Canis lupus familiaris: one gene and its partners. The protein of the gene in region 3 purifies or fractionates together with the protein of the main gene of each other region. This does not show direct contact. Links are inferred from orthologs where the notes say so. Each region holds a gene or a part of one and is shown on either strand. Other genes may lie near its edges.

Region 1 (5,411 bases), on a different chromosome or scaffold from region 3:
AGCGAGAGACGGGGTCACCCCTCCGTTAAAGTGGCTCTCGGGTTTTCCGCAACTCACCTGAACTCCACCCGCCTCCCCCTCCCTAGGCTCGCTGCTGCCACCTACTGTCCGACGGGAATGAAATTTCCAAGGCGGGCTCCAGCCCGGTGCACGGGGAGGGGGAATCCTTTCTTCCCGGGCGCTGGGGCGCCGGGGCTCAGAGCGGTTTGGGGAAGATGGGGGGTGGGGGGGGGGGGGGGGGGGGCGGAGCGGCTCAGAGATTCATCTAGCCGGGGCCGGGGCAGCCAGGCCTCAGAGGTGGGGTGGGTCTGGCCATTGTGCAACCCCTTCCAGTTCCTCTGAGCAGATAATAGCTGAATCCAGATGGTGACAGCCCATGTGTCACCGTTTCCAGTTGAGTCTAGGATATGAGTAACCGGACTAAACAAAAGGCCCTTAAAGAGACCAGCTAGCTTCTGAGAGGAGAGACTACCCATTTCCCTGGTGAAGGTGGAGGGTGGGAGCTCTGTGCCCCCCACCCCCCCACCTCGGGGTGGGGTGGTGCTGGAGATAAACAAACAAATGTAAAAACCATACAGAACATCCCATATCCTGTGCTAATTTTAACTCAAGGCCGTTTCTACCTGAGTCAGACTGTATAGGCAGGTTGTTTAAGGCTCTGTTGTCACAGTCTTTCTGCGAGTCATCTGTTCCTTCTGACTAATGACAGATCTGCATGTTCCCCAGCCCCTGCTTCCACTCGGAGGCTGCAGAGTCACCACATTCTGTGCTCTCTGTGGTGAGAGCTTTGGGTCTGCAGGGGGTCATGCATTTTCAGCTCCTGGAGATCCCGGGAGGGGTGGGGGGGTGGGGCTTCCTGCAGCTACTTGCAGCAGCCCCCACCTGCAAACAAGGAAGGGCCACATAGGGTGCGAGCTTTAGGGCTCAGCCCCCGTGAAAGGAGGCGACATATATAGAAGACAGCTCTTTTAAACCATCCGTAGAGTAACCCAGTGGGCATCTGCTAGCCAGAGCCCTCTATGTTGCTGGTTTGGGGTGTTAGAGGCAGCTGAGGCTTCTTGCATAAGGTGTGGGGTGGTGGTGGTGGTGCAGAGATAAATGAAGGGAGCCGTACTGTCAACCCAAGGCCGAAGGCCGAGAGCTGCAGTCCGGCATTCAGGAGGCAGCCTCTGCTTTTCTAGCTTCCTAAATGGGGTCACCGTCTCTCTGCAGGTGTTTCCTATTAAACACTACCAGGACAAAATCAGGCCTTACATCCAGCTGCCGTCACACAGGAACATCACTGGCATTGTGGAAGTGATCCTTGGGGAAACCAAGGCCTATGTCTTCTTTGAGAAGGACTTTGGGGACATGCACTCCTATGTGCGAAGCCGGAAGAGGCTGCGGGAAGAGGAGGCTGCCCGGCTCTTCAAGCAGATTGTTTCCGCCGTTGCCCACTGCCATCAGTCGGCCATCGTGCTCGGGGACCTGAAACTTAGGAAATTCGTCTTCTCCACGGAGGAGAGGTGAGCAGCCTTCGCAGCTCCTCCTGTGGCCTTGCGGGGCAGGTTAAGCGGTTAGGTACAGAGTGTTGGTTCGCATCAGAGCCAAGGGCTCGGTTGTCCCAGAATGAGTATTTAGAAAGGCCGCTCCCCAGGAGCCACGGCCAAGGATGGCTTATTCTGCACTGTCGTGGATGTGGCCCCGGGACACCTTGGTGCTTCTTTCTGTGGGATGTCACATGATGACAGGATGCCCTCCCCACTTCCACTCCAGGATCAAGTTTATCCCCATTGTTATCAGAAAGGTCAGTTCTTCTCGGGTAACAGATGGTCAGTCCGGCCTCACCGCATTGACTCCTAAAGGAAGTTTTCAAATCCTGGCTTCTACCAAGCGGGGAGCTTTTTAATTTTTTTTTTTTTTTTGTACCTAAAAAGTATGACAGAGCTAAACTGTTGGATTAGCCCTATTCTGCTCTCCTCCTTTGTACCCTACTCCTGTTCCACTTTGGGCTGGCCCCCAGTACTGCTCTTCACATTCTCTGATGACTTTTCAGACCTCTTGTTTGGATACATCTTGAGAAAGTAGCCACATTGAATAATAAATGGATGTTGGCTGGAATTGGTTCCTAAATATAGATGGTGACTTTCCCTCATAAAGGACAAGATGAGCTTGATAAGAGAATAACGAGACGCTAGGATTCAGAGTTGAGGTTTCAGGCAAGGGAATTCAGGAAGCCGCGGGGAATAGACCTTACTTGACTTTAAGAGGTGGGCCGGATCTCTTCTGGAAAGATAAGGAGGGAAAAACCCCCTGTAGAATTGTGGAGGGGTGTGTATTATTTTGTTGCAGTTATTTGTGTGTGTGTGGGGGGGCTGCCCCCAGCTGTGCATTTTTACCCTTGCCTCCAGATCCGTAGGAAAGAGTACAGGGTTGAGTTGCCATAAAGCATAGCTTTATATCTGACCTTGCAAAACTTATTGGAACATAACCGATTAGCAAAGAAAAGCAAAGTATTTGCAATGGAGAAGTTTCCAATTCCTGGAACATGCTCCTTTGATATGTTGATGTATTTTCTGAAACATGCCTTACACACCTCCTTTACTAGCTTTTGAAATCCGCATTGCACAGGCGAATGTCATGTGCACGGGGTTTGGCAACCCGAGGGTTAAGCAATGGCAGGCTGACGCTAGCCGGGGAACCAGCACAGGTGCAGGGTTTTAGTACTACAGCAGCCAATCAGGGGCAGACAGTGTGGGTTGAGTCATATTTTCCGTTTACAGAACCAATGGGTATTTTACATAACGACGGGGAGGTCAGGCTGAGGACATACGAAGTTAGCACATGTATACTACACTCCAGGGAACAGGAAGGCAGGAAGAAAAAAAAAAAAAAACACAACCAGACCTTTGAGAGGAAAAGAAATTGACCCATTAGCCAGCACCAAATGTTTGCCTTTGACTTCACAACAAGTGACTTACTGAAACAGGGCTATTTCAGAGAAGCAGGGAGGGGCACGGTCTGCCACCAGATGATAGAGGTTCCCCACAAGGCTCTGGGCTTTGGGGGACCCATGACCTATGGGTAGGTGCGTCTGAATAAGGAGGCACCTGCAGCTTCAGAAGAGAGCCTCTGCCTAAAGATTTTTTTCAGAGCCCCATATAGAAGATAAGCCCCCCCATGAAGGAGATAAACCCCCCATGAAGGAGATAAACCCCCCCCCATGTAGAAGATAACCCCCCATGTAGGAGATAACCCCCCCATGTAGGGGATAAAACCCCCCATGTAGAAGATAAACCCTCTATGTAGAAGATAAACCCCCCCATGTAGGAGATAGCCCCCCATGTGGAAGATAAACCTCCACAAAGAAGAAATAGGTTCAGGTGTCGATGTGCCATCCGTGGGTACGGATGTTCGGAGGCCCCGCATCCTTCAAATCCACCAGCCACTTCTGATTGCCCGTATAACCTCCAGGTCCCGGCTAAGTGTTCTTTGCAATGAAACACCCCAATAAATGTAATTAACATTCCTGGCACCTTTCCCGTCACGGTTATCGTGCCCTGGGCTCAGGTAGACAGAGTTCCCTGTGTGTGTCTATCACGCAGGCGTGAGCAGGAGTGCTGACAACGTGAGCATGATAGCCTTGACTCTGGGCCTCGTGTTCTGTAATGCGGAAGGGGGGCCCATGTAGCCCCAGCAGTCAGTGGCACGAGAAGAAGATGGGCCTGTAGGATGCTCAGCTCCCCCCCCCCCCCCACCGCCCCAGAAGGAGGGATATACTGTTCTTCCCTGACAGCTTCTGTATAAAAATGTCAGCATTCCCCTGAGACAAGCTCCCACTTCTGCAATGTGAACTTTGTAAGTTGTGTAACCCTATTAGGATATCTCTTCTAAGCTCTAGCCTAATGAATAGTATTTGGGGCTTTGCATCATACCCTCCGCCCCAGGCGCTCTTGATACTTTGCGAATGTTTATTGCAGTTTGTATTGGTTTGTGAAATCCTGAGTCCTGGGTGGTTGCAGGGCCCTGCTTAGTGGATGAAGGGGTAAATGGCATTCCTTGGGCCTTTGCTTTTAGTGCCTGTGGGTGCTGTTATAGAGGAGGCTTTGTTTTTTCATAGCAGCCGATCTGGAAGTAATAGCTTGTTTCCTCTCCTGCAGAAGCCAGCTCAGACTGGAAAGTCTAGAAGACACACACATAATCAAGGGGGAAGACGATGCTCTGTCAGACAAGCACGGCTGCCCGGCCTACGTGAGCCCTGAGATTCTGAACACCACGGGGACCTACTCCGGAAAGGCGGCAGACGTTTGGAGCCTAGGGGTGATGCTCTACACCCTTTTGGTGGGACGATACCCCTTCCATGACTCAGATCCCAGTGCCCTCTTCTCCAAAATCCGACGTGGACAGTTCTGCATTCCTGACCACATTTCCCCCAAAGCCAGGTGCCTCATTCGCAGCCTCCTGAGACGGGAGCCCTCCGAGAGACTCACTGCCCCGGAGATCTTACTCCATCCCTGGTTTGAGTCTGTCTTGGAACCTGGATACGTTGACTCAGAAATGGGAACTTCAGACCAGATTGTTCCAGACTACCAAGAGGACAGTGACATTAGTTCCTTCTTCTGCTAATCCCCAAACCTCAGAAACCTCATAATTCTCACACATGGCATTTCCATTTCTAAAGATGGACAGGCCTTTCGGCGTGGTGCCAACCAGATACGTGATGGCGTAAAGCTGGTAGCTGCTGAACTCGACGTGGCACCCCCTCTTACCTGTTGTGACGAGTGACTGTATTGATCTGAGCAGCACACATTCGGATCGATCGGCCGCCCTGCAAAGTCGTTTCCCTTCTCAACGAACCCTGGCCGGCTGTCTCGAACCCTGGCCCGCTGTCTCGCTGTCAGATGGGGCGGGGCGGGGGTGGGGGTTCCTGCATCTTCAGGGGTGGCAAAGAGTATGGATATCCTACAGCGTGTGGCCAAGTGAAATGGACGTGAACATTTTAAAGGGAGAGGAAGTGAGTCGCACAGTGGCGTTTTGGGCAATAACCATATTTTAACAGGGTGACAAATCACGTTGGCCAATAAACCTGCCATCTTTGACCTTGTCTCTGGGAGCTAGACTGTCGCTCCCCCGGCTTCTCTCTTGGAAAGTTCTTGGTTTGGTTTGGTTTAATACGCACCCTTCCTTCACACTCACCTCTCCCAGTGACCCTGCGCCCCCGTCGTCGTCGGAGCGGACTTTTTGAGGAGCAGAGGAGCCTGCACCACGAACCCAGACGCTCTCCTCCATTTCCTGCCAAGACCTCATTTGCACTAATGCCTTCCTTCTGACCTTGAAACGGCTCCTTCTCTGCTCTCCAAGCACTTACCAGCTAACCGTGGAGAAGTATCACAAAAGATTTGAACTCCTGGCTGTTTCAGAAACTCTGAGCT
Region 2 (5,955 bases), on a different chromosome or scaffold from region 3:
GGTCAGTATTTTAATTAGAATTTTATTGTTTTAAAATTATACAAAACGTAAATATCCCAGATTATTAGAAAAGGATACCGTACAGATCCTTGATACAATATTTAAGAGCAAAACATGACAGAACATAGGACTATAATAACAATTCAAAACAAAAAGTTAATTTTTAAAACAGATTTATTTAAAGCGAGAGAGCATGAGTCGGAGGGGCAGAGGGAGAAGGAGAAGAGAGAGAATCTCAGGCATACCCCCACTGAGCACAGAGCCCAAGGCAGGGCTTGATCTCAAGACCCTGAGGTCACAACCAAGAATCAGATGCTTTATTTAGCCAACTGTGTACCCAGGCACCCCTAAAAAGTTAAGTTTTAGTATAAGAGTTAAGAATGAGCTAGCTAATGCAGGTGAGTAATAACCTTTGTTGAAAAAAGAGAGCTATCTTGAATAACAGGGTAGCAACAGAAGAAATAGTAAACTTATTGACTTGCTTATTTATATCCTCAAATCAATTCTTTTGACAATTAGCATTTTTATTTATATGGTAATTTTCTCCCTGCATTGTCTTAGGCTGTTATTTTAATAAGCTAGTGTTTAAACTTTTTTCTTAAAACATGATAGTTTGAAAATGACCTATTAACTTTTACTTGCACAACACTATAATGCTGATTTATTAGCCATATATGTTTGTATGTGGAGTAAAAGTATCTAGATTGAAGTTTCAGCCATACCCAAACTTTCTCAGTAAAGGATAGGATTTCAGTTCTGAGAACTCTTCTTTGCCAGACACAGTAATATTTCTCCTTCCGTGGCATTACACTATGGGTATAAATTGAATCAGGATAGATAAGTAGTTGCCATCAATATAACTGTGCTACATTAGAATCCATAGGGCAGATAACAGCTGAACCAGCAGTTCAGTTATGGTTGTTGTAAAGAGAAATTCATTGCTTTGCCATGTAGTTCTATTTTATTGGAGGGAATATTTGCTGATTTGTGCTATAGCCCATAACATTTAATGAAATTGTTATAACATTAAGAAAGGATTTAAAGCTATAAGAAAAGTGCACATCTCAATGTGTTTTTATACAAAATATTCATATTATGTACCTTTTATTCATCATCATCATTAGCTTGGTAAGCTTTTAACTAAATTATTAACTAATCATTAACTGTTCTGCAAAAGGATATCACAAGTAACCCAGAAAGAAAAGTGTAGGTATTTATACACATTGAGTGAATGCTTGATATATGCAGAGTACTACCATATCATCCTAGCCACTTAAAGGCTTACTAACTTTAGGCAAATTGCTTCACCTCTAATTCTCAGTTTTCTTGTGTGTAAAATGTAGATAAAGGTAATACCTGTCTCGTAGGGCTATTATGAGAATTAAATAAATTAATACCAGTGGTTATGCTTAGTGGTCAGTGAATGTTAGCTGTTACTATTGTGTAATTAATTATAGATCAGTGAGAATTCTTATCTAGCCTTACAGCTAAGCTTCTAGAACAGATTCTTAACTTCTTGAGAAATACGTGATAATTCATTTCACTCTTATTTCCATTAGGTTACTTATATTTCTTGCTGGTTATATAACAACTTTGTTGAGACTCCAAGTTAAGTTCAATAAAGGTGAATAAGGTGTGCTTTGCTTTGAAGTATCTTATTTTGGAACTTGTGTAAAAAGTCAGTAAGAGAAGGATGAATTCCCCAAGTAACCCTAAAAAAGGAGATTTTTAGTTTTTCCCTTTTTTGTGGTGTAAGAAACTATTGGGAGTTACATAAGTTAGATCATCTTTGGGAGGTGAGAAATGAGTTTGGGAAAACATAGTGATAAGTTAATGATTCCATTTTTGTGTATATTTCATACCTTTGTCATCATCTTTTCTTTAATTGCTTCAGTAATTCAGTTTGTGTACTAATTTATTAAAATAACATTGCATACTGGGAAGTTCTGTCATCCTCACAAAATGGTAGCAGGGAAATAGATTTATGAAGAGATTATTTGGTAATTCTCTTCTAACATATTTTTTAATATACCAAACCTTTTCATCTTTCCTTGCTACTTTTATAATTCAACTTGTTAATCTTTATAGTTGGGTAGGTTTTAATATGGTTTACTAAAGATGAATTGAAAAACATGTGATGTTTCTAGGAACTGGGGGGTAGCTATAAGAATTGTGTAGCTATGCACAGTTCTCTACCACTTGTAATGTGGTATGTCTTGATCATGACTTTATCTGAACATAAAGTCTAGTACAATTTGGGGGCATTTCAAGTCAATCTCTTATTCTTATAGACATTTTGACTTTAGAAATAGAAAAAAAACCCCTGAAATGTTGTCATTGTAATGTCACAGGGATAGGGAAATAGTCTTACTAACTAAATACACATTTTCTTCCATAGTATTGAATTTGACCGAGATTGTGACTATTTTGCAATTGCTGGGGTTACAAAGAAGATTAAAGTCTATGAATATGGCACAGTCATTCAGGATGCGGTGGATATTCATTACCCTGAAAATGAAATGACCTGCAATTCCAAAATCAGGTACTTAGGTTATTTTTTTTAGACATAATGTGTGTATAAAATATTTAATATCTATAGTTAGTATGAGTTTGTTATTTTACCTTTCTGTGAGATTCCTTACTCATTCATAGTGAACAGTAATTGTATACAGAGAATACTTCAGAATCTATCTTACAGATTATGGTTGCTTTTTCCCTGTGGGGGTTAGTAGTCATTGTTTTTCTCTTTGACAAATGAAAGTCCTCTTTGCTTCACTTAAATAAAATTATGTGTTGTAAATGATCATCCAGGGGGTGTTGAATAAGGGATTACTTTAGCCTATGTATACTGTCTGAAAGTCAGGAAAAATTCCTGACCCATTCCTAGCATGTCATATCTTCACATATTATAATTGTTTATAGTTTTAAGAATTGTTTTAAGAAAAAAAAGAATTGTTTTTATAAGAACATTTTGCTGCTTTTCATTGAGGGCCTAATATTTAACTTTCATAGGTTAGGGTTAGAGCTCATAATGAATGCTTTTCAAATCTAGAGTACTGTTAAAAGTGCAGGAACTAGAAATTACTTTAGATCTGCCAATCCCAAAATCTCAGGGGAATTTTATAATCTACATTTTTAAAAACAAGTTTCCTAAGCTATTCTCATGGGTGCTGGCTTAAATTGGAATGATGCATGGAAATCATTTAATAATTTATTTATATCTGTGAACATTTTCCAACTGTCCTTGTATCTTTTTTTAACTGAATTAACATACATATATGTGTGTAGTCATTTTAATAATGTTAATAATTTAGCAAGTATTACAGTATTTATATAATGTATTTGTTATAGCTTTCCTTTTTCTTTCCTAATTAATTCATAACAATGGTAGGCTGATAATTTGTGAGGCTGCTCATTCATCAGTGGTGCTCACAACTGAGAATCTGTTATAGTTTATCCTAAGTGGAAAGAAAACAGCACGAGTAAGACATAACTTTATTGAATTCCTATGTGACAGACATTATCTTTATCTTAAGTAGACCTATTAGATACTGTTATTGCCCAATCTTAGACACGAGGAAGCTGAAGCACAGAAAGGTTAATTAACTTGATTGAAATCACACAGCTAGTCTCTGGAGGAGCCAGGATTCAAACAGTTTGATTGCAGAGTCTCTGCTTTTAACCATTATGAAACAGAGGGCATAGTAGCAATCCTTATTTTATAAGATTACACTTTTTTTTTAAGGAGAATGAGCAGGGAAGGACAGAGGGAGAGAGAATCTCAAGCAGGTTCCACATCCAGCACAGAGCCCAACGTGAGGCTTAATTTCATACCCTGAGATTATGACCTGAAGTCAAAAGTCATCTAGGTTAATTGCTTTCTAAGTGGCTTCTTCCTTAATATACCTAAGCTTTACTATATATACATGATTCACATATGTGTCTCACCAAAAGCATACATTTTTAGATGTTGTATTCTCAGTTTTGGAGCACTTAATAGCTGAAACCATAAATGGTAAAAGCTTAATTCTGACTCTTAAAATCAATCCTAAGGTTATAGTAGATGAGATTTTTTTTTAGATGAGATTTTTTTAATGTAAACACAGAAACCCAATTCAGATTAGCTTGCTTGCTTGCTTGCTTGCTTGCTTGCTTGTTTGTTTGTTTATTTATTTATTTATTTATTTATTTATTTATTTATTTATTTTCAAAAAAGATCTTATTTATTCCTGAGAGACACACAGACTGAGGCCGAGACGTAGAGGGAGAAGCAAGCGCCCTGCAGGGAACCCAATGCGGGACTCAGTCCCAGGACCCGAGGATCATACCCTGAGGTGAAGGGAGATGCTCAACCACTGAGCCACCCAGGTGCCCCCCCAGTTCAGATTAGTTTATTAACTTATACGTTTTGGCACAACTTGATCCAGGGGCCTACACAATTTGAATACGTCTCTGTCATTGTGCTATGGCATGCTTTGTGTCCCATTAGCCTCTGTTTACACTCATAGACATGCTTTCATTTCTGACATTTGGCCAGTGGTGGCTTTAGGCTTATGTGCATCTTTTGGTTAGTGATCAGAGTGAGTAGTGGTGTAAGGGTCATTATTAGGTAGTTCAGTAGAAAAACTTAGGAGTTAATTGATATATTTCTTCCCAGCTGTGTTGTGGGCAGATTAATGATTATGAAGCCATGTTGACCATTTCTTAAGGGTTCTAATCTTTCTGCACACATCAAAATTCTTTGTATTCATTGTTACTTATTTCTACATAAAGTAAAGCTTAACTCTCTTTCTTTCTTTCAGCTGTATCAGTTGGAGTAGTTACCATAAGAATCTGTTAGCCAGCAGTGATTATGAAGGCACTGTCATCCTATGGGATGGATTCACAGGACAGAGGTCAAAGGTCTATCAGGTAAATAGGATATTATTTTTTTTTAAGGTTCACATTTTTACTTAATTGTAATTACAAATGTAGCCACTATTTAGCAATTTTATACCTATGTATAGCAAATAATGCTTTTAATTACAAATTTAAAGTCACTATTTAGCATTTTTTATACCTATGTAATAGCAGATAATGCTTTTCTAAAACATTTCTTCAGACTTGTTTTGCATTTGAAGAATGTGTCAAATGCATTTCCAAAAGCAATAAAATATGTATATATAAAAAGCCTGGAAATTACTTTGCATCTCATTTGTTTTTGTAGCCTGTTCTTTCTCTCTCCCACCAGAGCAATAAATTGGTATCAAGCTTTTTGCTTAATTTCTTATAAGATCTATGTCTGTCTGATACTACTTTTTGTCTTCCTTCTATGTCTAGGAACATGAGAAAAGGTGTTGGAGTGTTGACTTTAACTTAATGGATCCTAAACTCTTGGCATCGGGTTCTGATGATGCAAAAGGTACTATTTGAATCTCTTCTACTTTCTCTAATTCCTTACTCCCAACTTAATTCCTTTTAGTGGCAGAGGTGCAGATATTTATTAGAAATCATAGCAATCCTTTGTGATTATCATTCTAAAAATAATCTAAGCACCACAATCTATCTCTTTTGGAGTGAAAGAAAAATGTATATACTACATCTTCATTATAATAATTTTCTCTGGATTCATGTCATATGGTGATATTTTTATAACCAATTCCTTTATATATACCATCAAGTAAACTTTTTTTCTGAAATATTTAGACAGATATCTCTTTTCTAAAAAAATTTTTATTATTTATTCATGAGAGACATAGTGAGACAAGCAGAGACATAGGCAGAGGGAGAAGCAGGCTTCCCCGCAGGGAGTCTAGTGCAGAGGACTAGATCCCATGACCCCAGGACTCCAGGATCATGACCTGAGCCAAAGGCAGATGCTCAACCACTGAGCCACCCAGGTGTCCCCAATACATCTCTGTGTATCCATCATTACTATTCATTTTTTTTCAGTTATCCTTAATGTTTTTTTGGCCT
Region 3 (5,955 bases):
CTTCGGGGGAAGGCCTCGTGTTGGGAACAGCTTCCGGGCCATGTCTCCTCTGTCTCTGGGGTGGTCCGTTGGGGACCCCAGTTTGCTTCTGCACAAAGCAGCGTCGTCCCCTCTGCCTTTGACTGGCCCCATTAACGCAGGCTGGCTGCCCACCTCGGTAGCCAGTATATGCTGCCTGGAAGGACGCCCCCCCCACCCCGAGCCCCTGATTAATGCCAGGAAAGGAGCTGTGGCTCTTTGTCACTGGGAACCTTTGATGCTCCTCTGGGAGGGGGGCAGGCGGAGAACAGCAGCCGCAGCTGTGTGACGCATCCCCAAGTCAGAGGCTCGCAGGCTGGGTTCGCGTGGGGAAACTCGCTGCCTTGCTTAGTGAGGAGGCCTCCTCTTCTTGTCTAGAGCTGAGAATGAAGCGGAGAGCATCGGACAGAGGAGCTGGGGAAACGTCGGCCAGGGCCAAGGCTCTAGGAGGTGGCATTTCCGGAAATAATGCAAAGAGAGCTGGACCGTTCATCCTGGGTAAGCCTCGGGGGGCTGGGGCGCGGGGGGCAGGTGCAGGGGGAGTGCCACAGCCCCCAGCGTGGGGCGGCCCGAGCCCTGCTGCTCTGAGTGTGGTCCCGCTGTGCCCGTGGGGGACCTGGAGCCTCAAGGTCCTGCTGCGCCCGAGTTGCCGTTGTTGCTGTAGCCTCCCCAGTCCCGACCAGCTCCAGCCAAGAGCTAGGCTGTTTCTTCCCCCAGAGCACCCCGTTTGCACCCGCCCCCCATGGCGCACAGGGGAGGCACACGAGCTGCATCAGAACCCACGGCCCATCATCCAAGGCACTCCTCTGGCCATCCTTGGAGGGCACAGTTCATTCCACCCGGCATCTGGTGCGGCCCTCCAGACTTCTTATATAAGGCACAGAAGTCCTGTGGAGTTGGGTGTGCCCTGTGGTCCACAAGAGCCGTAGGCCTTGGAGGCCCCAGGAACCAGGGTTGCTGTGCTCAGGGTGCAGGGGTGAAGTGGGCTCTGAGGACCCTGACCCTTCCATCAGCCGGAGACCCAGTGTGAATTTCGCCCTGAGGCGGCGTCTCAGACTCAGGGACACAGGGTGGCATCGGCCATGCGCCGGGCCTAGGCTGTTCGCTAGGGGCGCAGCCGTGGACAAGAAAGACCAGAACTGCCCGCAGAGAACTTAAGAGGCTATTGGGGGAAAGGAACAGGGTAAACAACGCACACGGTCACCAACAGGGCCGTAAGGGCCTTGAAGGAGGTAAACAAGACCATGTGAGACCAGGAAGGCCTGTCCGAGGACGGAGGTTTGGGCTGACAGCTGCAGAGCAGCCAGCCGTGGGGAATGCAGGGGAAAAGCATTCCACACAGAAGGAAGTGCAAAGGCGAAGGCCCAGAGGCAGGAAAGCGCTTCCCAAGTTAGTACGCAGGTGCCCTGTGTGGCTGGAGCATGGCCACGGGGCGGGGGGGGGGGGGGGGGACACGACACGTAACCAGGGAGGTGGGCAGGAACCAAGTCCTACCGGCCCTTGGCTGTATGTTAAGAGCAGTGACGCACGGTGAAGTGACACAGTGACCTCACGTGACTTCTGCTCTGAGCCCTGGGTGGGACGCTGGCAAGGGAAAAGGAGCATGGACATCTCTGAAGTACAGAAGCTCCCCGGCCTGTCCAAGGGGGGCCCGGCGGCCACCCCACGCTGCGAGGGGTCTCACCAAAGCTGTAGCGCCCCCGCCCCGCCCCCCCGCCCCGCCCTGGAGGTGCCGACTCAGGCTCCAGGTGGCCGCTGGGCCCCCTTCTGTGAACACGTGCTCCTCAGGTGCTGGTGCACACCCCTGTCGGAGACCCCCATGTTTGAGAAACATGCCCGTAGAAGCCAGGTGGACCTCGGGGGGTCGCACACACTCCTCCATGTTTGGAGGGGAGACTGTGGGGATCTCCCGGGAGACCTGGGGGCGGGGGCAGCTTGGTGGCCGTGAGCTGCTGTGGGGGGTGCAGAAAGACCACGTGGTCCACGAGACGCGGGGGGGTAGAAGTGAGCCCAGCTCTGTGTGCCGTAGGCCCTCGCCTGGGCAACTCCCCGGTGCCCAGCATCGTGCAGTGTTTGGCGAGGAAGGACGGCACGGATGACTTCTATCAGCTGAAGGTGAGTGAGGCGCCCTGGGTGGCCGCTGGCTGCTCTCCCCTCCCCAGCTTCACACCCACACCACCTGCAAACCAAAGTAGCAGCATTTCTTCCCGGGAAGTGCTCACTCGGGCTCACGCAGTCTCGCTGCGAACACGCCTGATTTCGAGAGCTCGATGAGCGAGAGTCACACTGCTGTCACGTTGAGAAAAGCCCTGCACATTGTGCGTGCCCGTGCGAGTGTGCGTGCAGGTGTCATGTACCAGACCTGAGCACCCCCCCAACCCCACCCCCGCCGCCCCGGCTCATCCTGTTCTAGTCAGCTTTGTAAAGTCAGGATTTTTTTTTTTTTTTTTTGGATTTTTGGCCTTTTTGCGTGTGTGCCTCCCTAAAGATCCTCACCCTTGAGGAGAGGGGGGACCAAGGAATAGAGAGCCAGGAGGAGAGGCAAGGCAAGATGCTGTTACACACCGAGTACTCTCTGCTCTCCCTCCTCCACACGCAGGACGGCGTGGTTCACCACCACGGGCTCTTCCAGGTGAGTGGCAGAGGGGCCATCCCCGGGGGGTGGGTCCCTCCAGCAGCCCGCCCGGCACGCCGGGTGCACCAGGACCTCCTGGGTGGGGGGCTGGAGGTCAGGCCTGGCCTCTCCTGCGGTAGCACTCGCGGCCTGCTGGGAGTGCCCCTTTCTTGGCAGGGTCACTTTCCTCAGAAAGGGGGAAAGCATGACGTTATGTCAATCCCGGGCCCTTTCCTGCCGTGTCAGGAGTGGGCCAGGCCAGGGTGGGAGGGGCGACGAGGAGGGACGTGCCCTGAGGGCCACCCGTGGATCCCTGGTTTGGGTGCCAGCCATCCTCCGGCCTGCCCAGGTATACCAGCTGTTGAGAAGTATCCCCGAGCCTCCTGCCCAGTGTGCCCGGATTCCCAGGTCCCATAGGGAAGGCACTAGTGAATAACTCCCAGCCCGAAGAGCCCTCCTCGGGGCTGAACCGACTTGGTGTCTCCAGAAATGAGGAAGGCCCGCATCAGGGCGCCCGGGAGGCCTCCCGCTCAGGCCCCCAGCAGAGCTTCCGCGGGGCCCCCAGCTAGACTCGCTGGCCAGGGCCACTCTCGCCAGATGGACCCGCACTCAGGAGGCACAGAGGTTCAGCGCCGGCGGCCCCAGATTCAGGCTGTGTGACCTGGGGCAAGTCACGTCCAGTCCCTAGGTTCCTCATCCGTAGAATGGAGGCAGTGACGGATGCCTGCCTTGCTCGCTCGCAGGGGGCTCGGGAGGGTGAGCATGCCTGTGCGCGGCCCGAGCTGTCCCTACGTGCTCATTGCACTTACTTGCCCATCAGCTTGAGTTCTTGGGTAAAATCGAGGCAAAATGCAACCCAACCCACCCCGACCCCACACGCCCTACCGAGGGCTTTATTGTTAGGTGTGCGATTAGAGCCAACTCTGAGAATCAGTGTTTCCCTTCCACGTGAAACCACACCGAGGGTGATGGGGAGTCCACAGTGCATGATCTCTGATGCCTGCCAGAGCTTGCCCCCCGCCCCCCGTATCATCTTGGATAACAGAACGTGGGTGATTAGAGCCCCCCGCAGTCCCCCAGAGCCAAGCATCGGTCTGCTGGGGATGACACTGAGCGTCTCCCTGAGCTGGCTCATCAGTAGGGGTTGTAGGTTTAGGCCCTACATTTGGTGTAGAGATTACTTTCTTAAAAATCTTAAAAAAAAAAAAAAAAAAAAGATGGGGATCCCTGGGTGGCTCAGTGGTTTAGTGCCTGCCTTCGGCCCAGGGCGTGATCCTGGAGTCCCGGGGATCAAGTCCCACATCAGGCTCCCTGCATTGAGCCTATTCCTCCCTCTGCCTGTGTCTCTGCCTCTCTCTCTCTGTGTCTCTCATGAATAAATAAATAAAATCTTAAAAAAGAAAGAAAGAAAGAAAAAAAAAAGAATGAAAGAAAGAAAAGAAAAAGAAATATCTTTTTGGCAAGGAAAATGGGCCCAACACATGCTGGTGGCAGGACCCACATCCTGAGCACAGGCACGGGTTGCTGTCTGCTCTGGACAGCCTGTGAGGGAGGGTGCTAGCTCCCTTTGACGGACAAGGGACCAAAGACTTAGAGAAGTGAGGTGAACTGCCCCCTGTCCCACAGCTGGAACAAGCCGGAGCCTGAACCCCAACAGACCCACGGTTCGCGGCTGCCCAGGGGTCCTGCATCTGTGTGAAAGCACTTGTCTTGGGCCCATGGGACACCTGACTTCTATTATCTCGGGACCTGGGTCACGACTGGAAGCCCTGGGCTTGCCACCCGCACCCTGGGCTCAGGCGTCCCTTTGGCATTTCATGCTCAGCCCCGATCCAAACCCCGTGCATCAGGACCAGATCACGAGGCATTTAATCTGAGGCCTCAGCTGGGCTGGGCCCTGGCACGGAGGAAGCCGGGTGTTCCGCAGTGGACCCCAGGTCCAGGCCCCAGGCCTCCAACTCTGGGTGGGGGGGGGCGTCCCGAGCCCCCAGCGCCGCTGGCCCCAGCCAAGCCTTGGTCTGCCCCTGCCTCGCAGGACCGCACCTGTGAAATCGTTGAGGACACGGAATCCAGCCGGATGGTTAAGAAGATGAAGAAGCGCATCTGCCTTGTCCTCGACTGCCTCTGTGCCCACGACTTCAGCGACAAGACTGCCGACCTGATCAACCTACAGCACTACGTCATCAAGGAGAAGCGGCTCAGTGAGCGGGAGACCGTGGTCATCTTTTACGACGTGGTGCGCGTCGTGGAGGCCCTGCACCAGGTGACGTCTGCCCTTCTGCACGTCCTCCGCCGCTGGCTGGCCTATCCTGGCTCCCGGTGACGGAGGGGCCTCCAGGCCCTGCAGCCGTGGAAGGCCACCCTCGTGCTGCTGCTCAGTGCAAGCAGCTCCGGCCCCGCAACCTCCCCTGGTGTGCTGCACAGCCACAGCAGCCTGCAGGAAAGTGGCTGGGTGACCTGAGCACCCACAGAGGCACAGGGCTGCCCGGGCGGCCCAGCAGGGCCCAGGAGGCAGCTGCCCGGCTGTCTAGAGGCTGCCCCGTAGCCTCCCAGCAGAGGGGATGACAGTGAGGCCTCGGGGCAGCCCCCGCCTGTCTCTGAGCTCCTCCTAGGGTTGGGGTGTCAGGCACCCCGAGGTACAGGGGAGGAGAGCCAGGGCCTCTTCTGGGCACGCAACTCCTTGGGCAGAACCTGTACTCTTCGAGCACCAGAGCTGTGACGGTTCCTCTCTGACAGCAGATCCAGGCAGATGCTAGTGGCTTTGTCAGGATGTTTGCTGGAGGGGGAGTGAGGACTGGTTTTCCCCACCAGCTGCTGCCCTGAGGGGAGAAAGCTGGGGAAGCCACCCCGAGAGGGGCGGAGACCGCCTGGGCTCACCTATTGCCCCATCCCTAGCCGTGGTTGGGGAGGCCTCGGGTGGCTGAGCAGTCCAGGCCTGAGCCGACGAGACAGAGTCTTCCCTGCCTTCCCAAACACCCGGAGAGCCCACGTGTGACAGGTTGGGCCCCACCCGGGCTCTGTCGTCCCCGGTCCGAACCATGTGCCTGTTGCTCTTCCAGAAAAACATCGTGCACAGGGACCTGAAGCTTGGAAACATGGTGCTCAATAAAAGGTAAGAGTCTCTTCAACGATGTAACCTCGGAGCTGGCACAGGCTACCTGCCACAACTACCCAGCGCCCCCAGGTCCCCCGGAAATCCCAGGGGTGGGGGATGGGATGCCTGCCTCTGCCCTTTGCCGCATGGGAATAAGGTGCTTGCTTACAAGGGGCATCTTAGGGCCTTCTGAGTGGCTCTGTCAGTTGAGTGTCTGACTCTTGAGCTC

What was found.
Region 1: the proteins of STK40 (region 3) and TRIB1 purify together in Homo sapiens (affinity purification with mass spectrometry; 3 studies listed by BioGRID and IntAct, counting the BioPlex papers as one, with this or other methods). This does not show direct contact. The link is inferred for Canis lupus familiaris from reciprocal best matches to the Homo sapiens genes STK40 and TRIB1.
Region 2: the proteins of STK40 (region 3) and COP1 purify together in Homo sapiens (affinity purification with mass spectrometry; 3 studies listed by BioGRID and IntAct, counting the BioPlex papers as one, with this or other methods). This does not show direct contact. The link is inferred for Canis lupus familiaris from reciprocal best matches to the Homo sapiens genes STK40 and COP1.

Annotation. Positions count from the first base shown.
Region 1 is NC_049234.1:23,757,504-23,762,914, forward strand, and holds part of TRIB1 (tribbles homolog 1), read left to right. Parts: intron 1-1,212; coding exon 1,213-1,505; intron 1,506-4,139; coding exon 4,140-4,605; 3' UTR 4,606-5,411. UniProt on the Homo sapiens protein: Adapter protein involved in protein degradation by interacting with COP1 ubiquitin ligase. The COP1-binding motif is masked by autoinhibitory interactions with the protein kinase domain.
Region 2 is NC_049228.1:23,348,132-23,354,086, forward strand, and holds part of COP1 (E3 ubiquitin-protein ligase COP1), read left to right. Parts: intron 1-2,398; coding exon 2,399-2,542; intron 2,543-4,802; coding exon 4,803-4,911; intron 4,912-5,319; coding exon 5,320-5,401; intron 5,402-5,955. UniProt on the Homo sapiens protein: E3 ubiquitin-protein ligase that mediates ubiquitination and subsequent proteasomal degradation of target proteins.
Region 3 is NC_049236.1:5,987,526-5,993,480, forward strand, and holds part of STK40 (serine/threonine-protein kinase 40), read left to right. Parts: intron 1-396; coding exon 397-516; intron 517-2,047; coding exon 2,048-2,133; intron 2,134-2,506; coding exon 2,507-2,650; intron 2,651-4,667; coding exon 4,668-4,895; intron 4,896-5,691; coding exon 5,692-5,744; intron 5,745-5,955. UniProt on the Homo sapiens protein: May be a negative regulator of NF-kappa-B and p53-mediated gene transcription.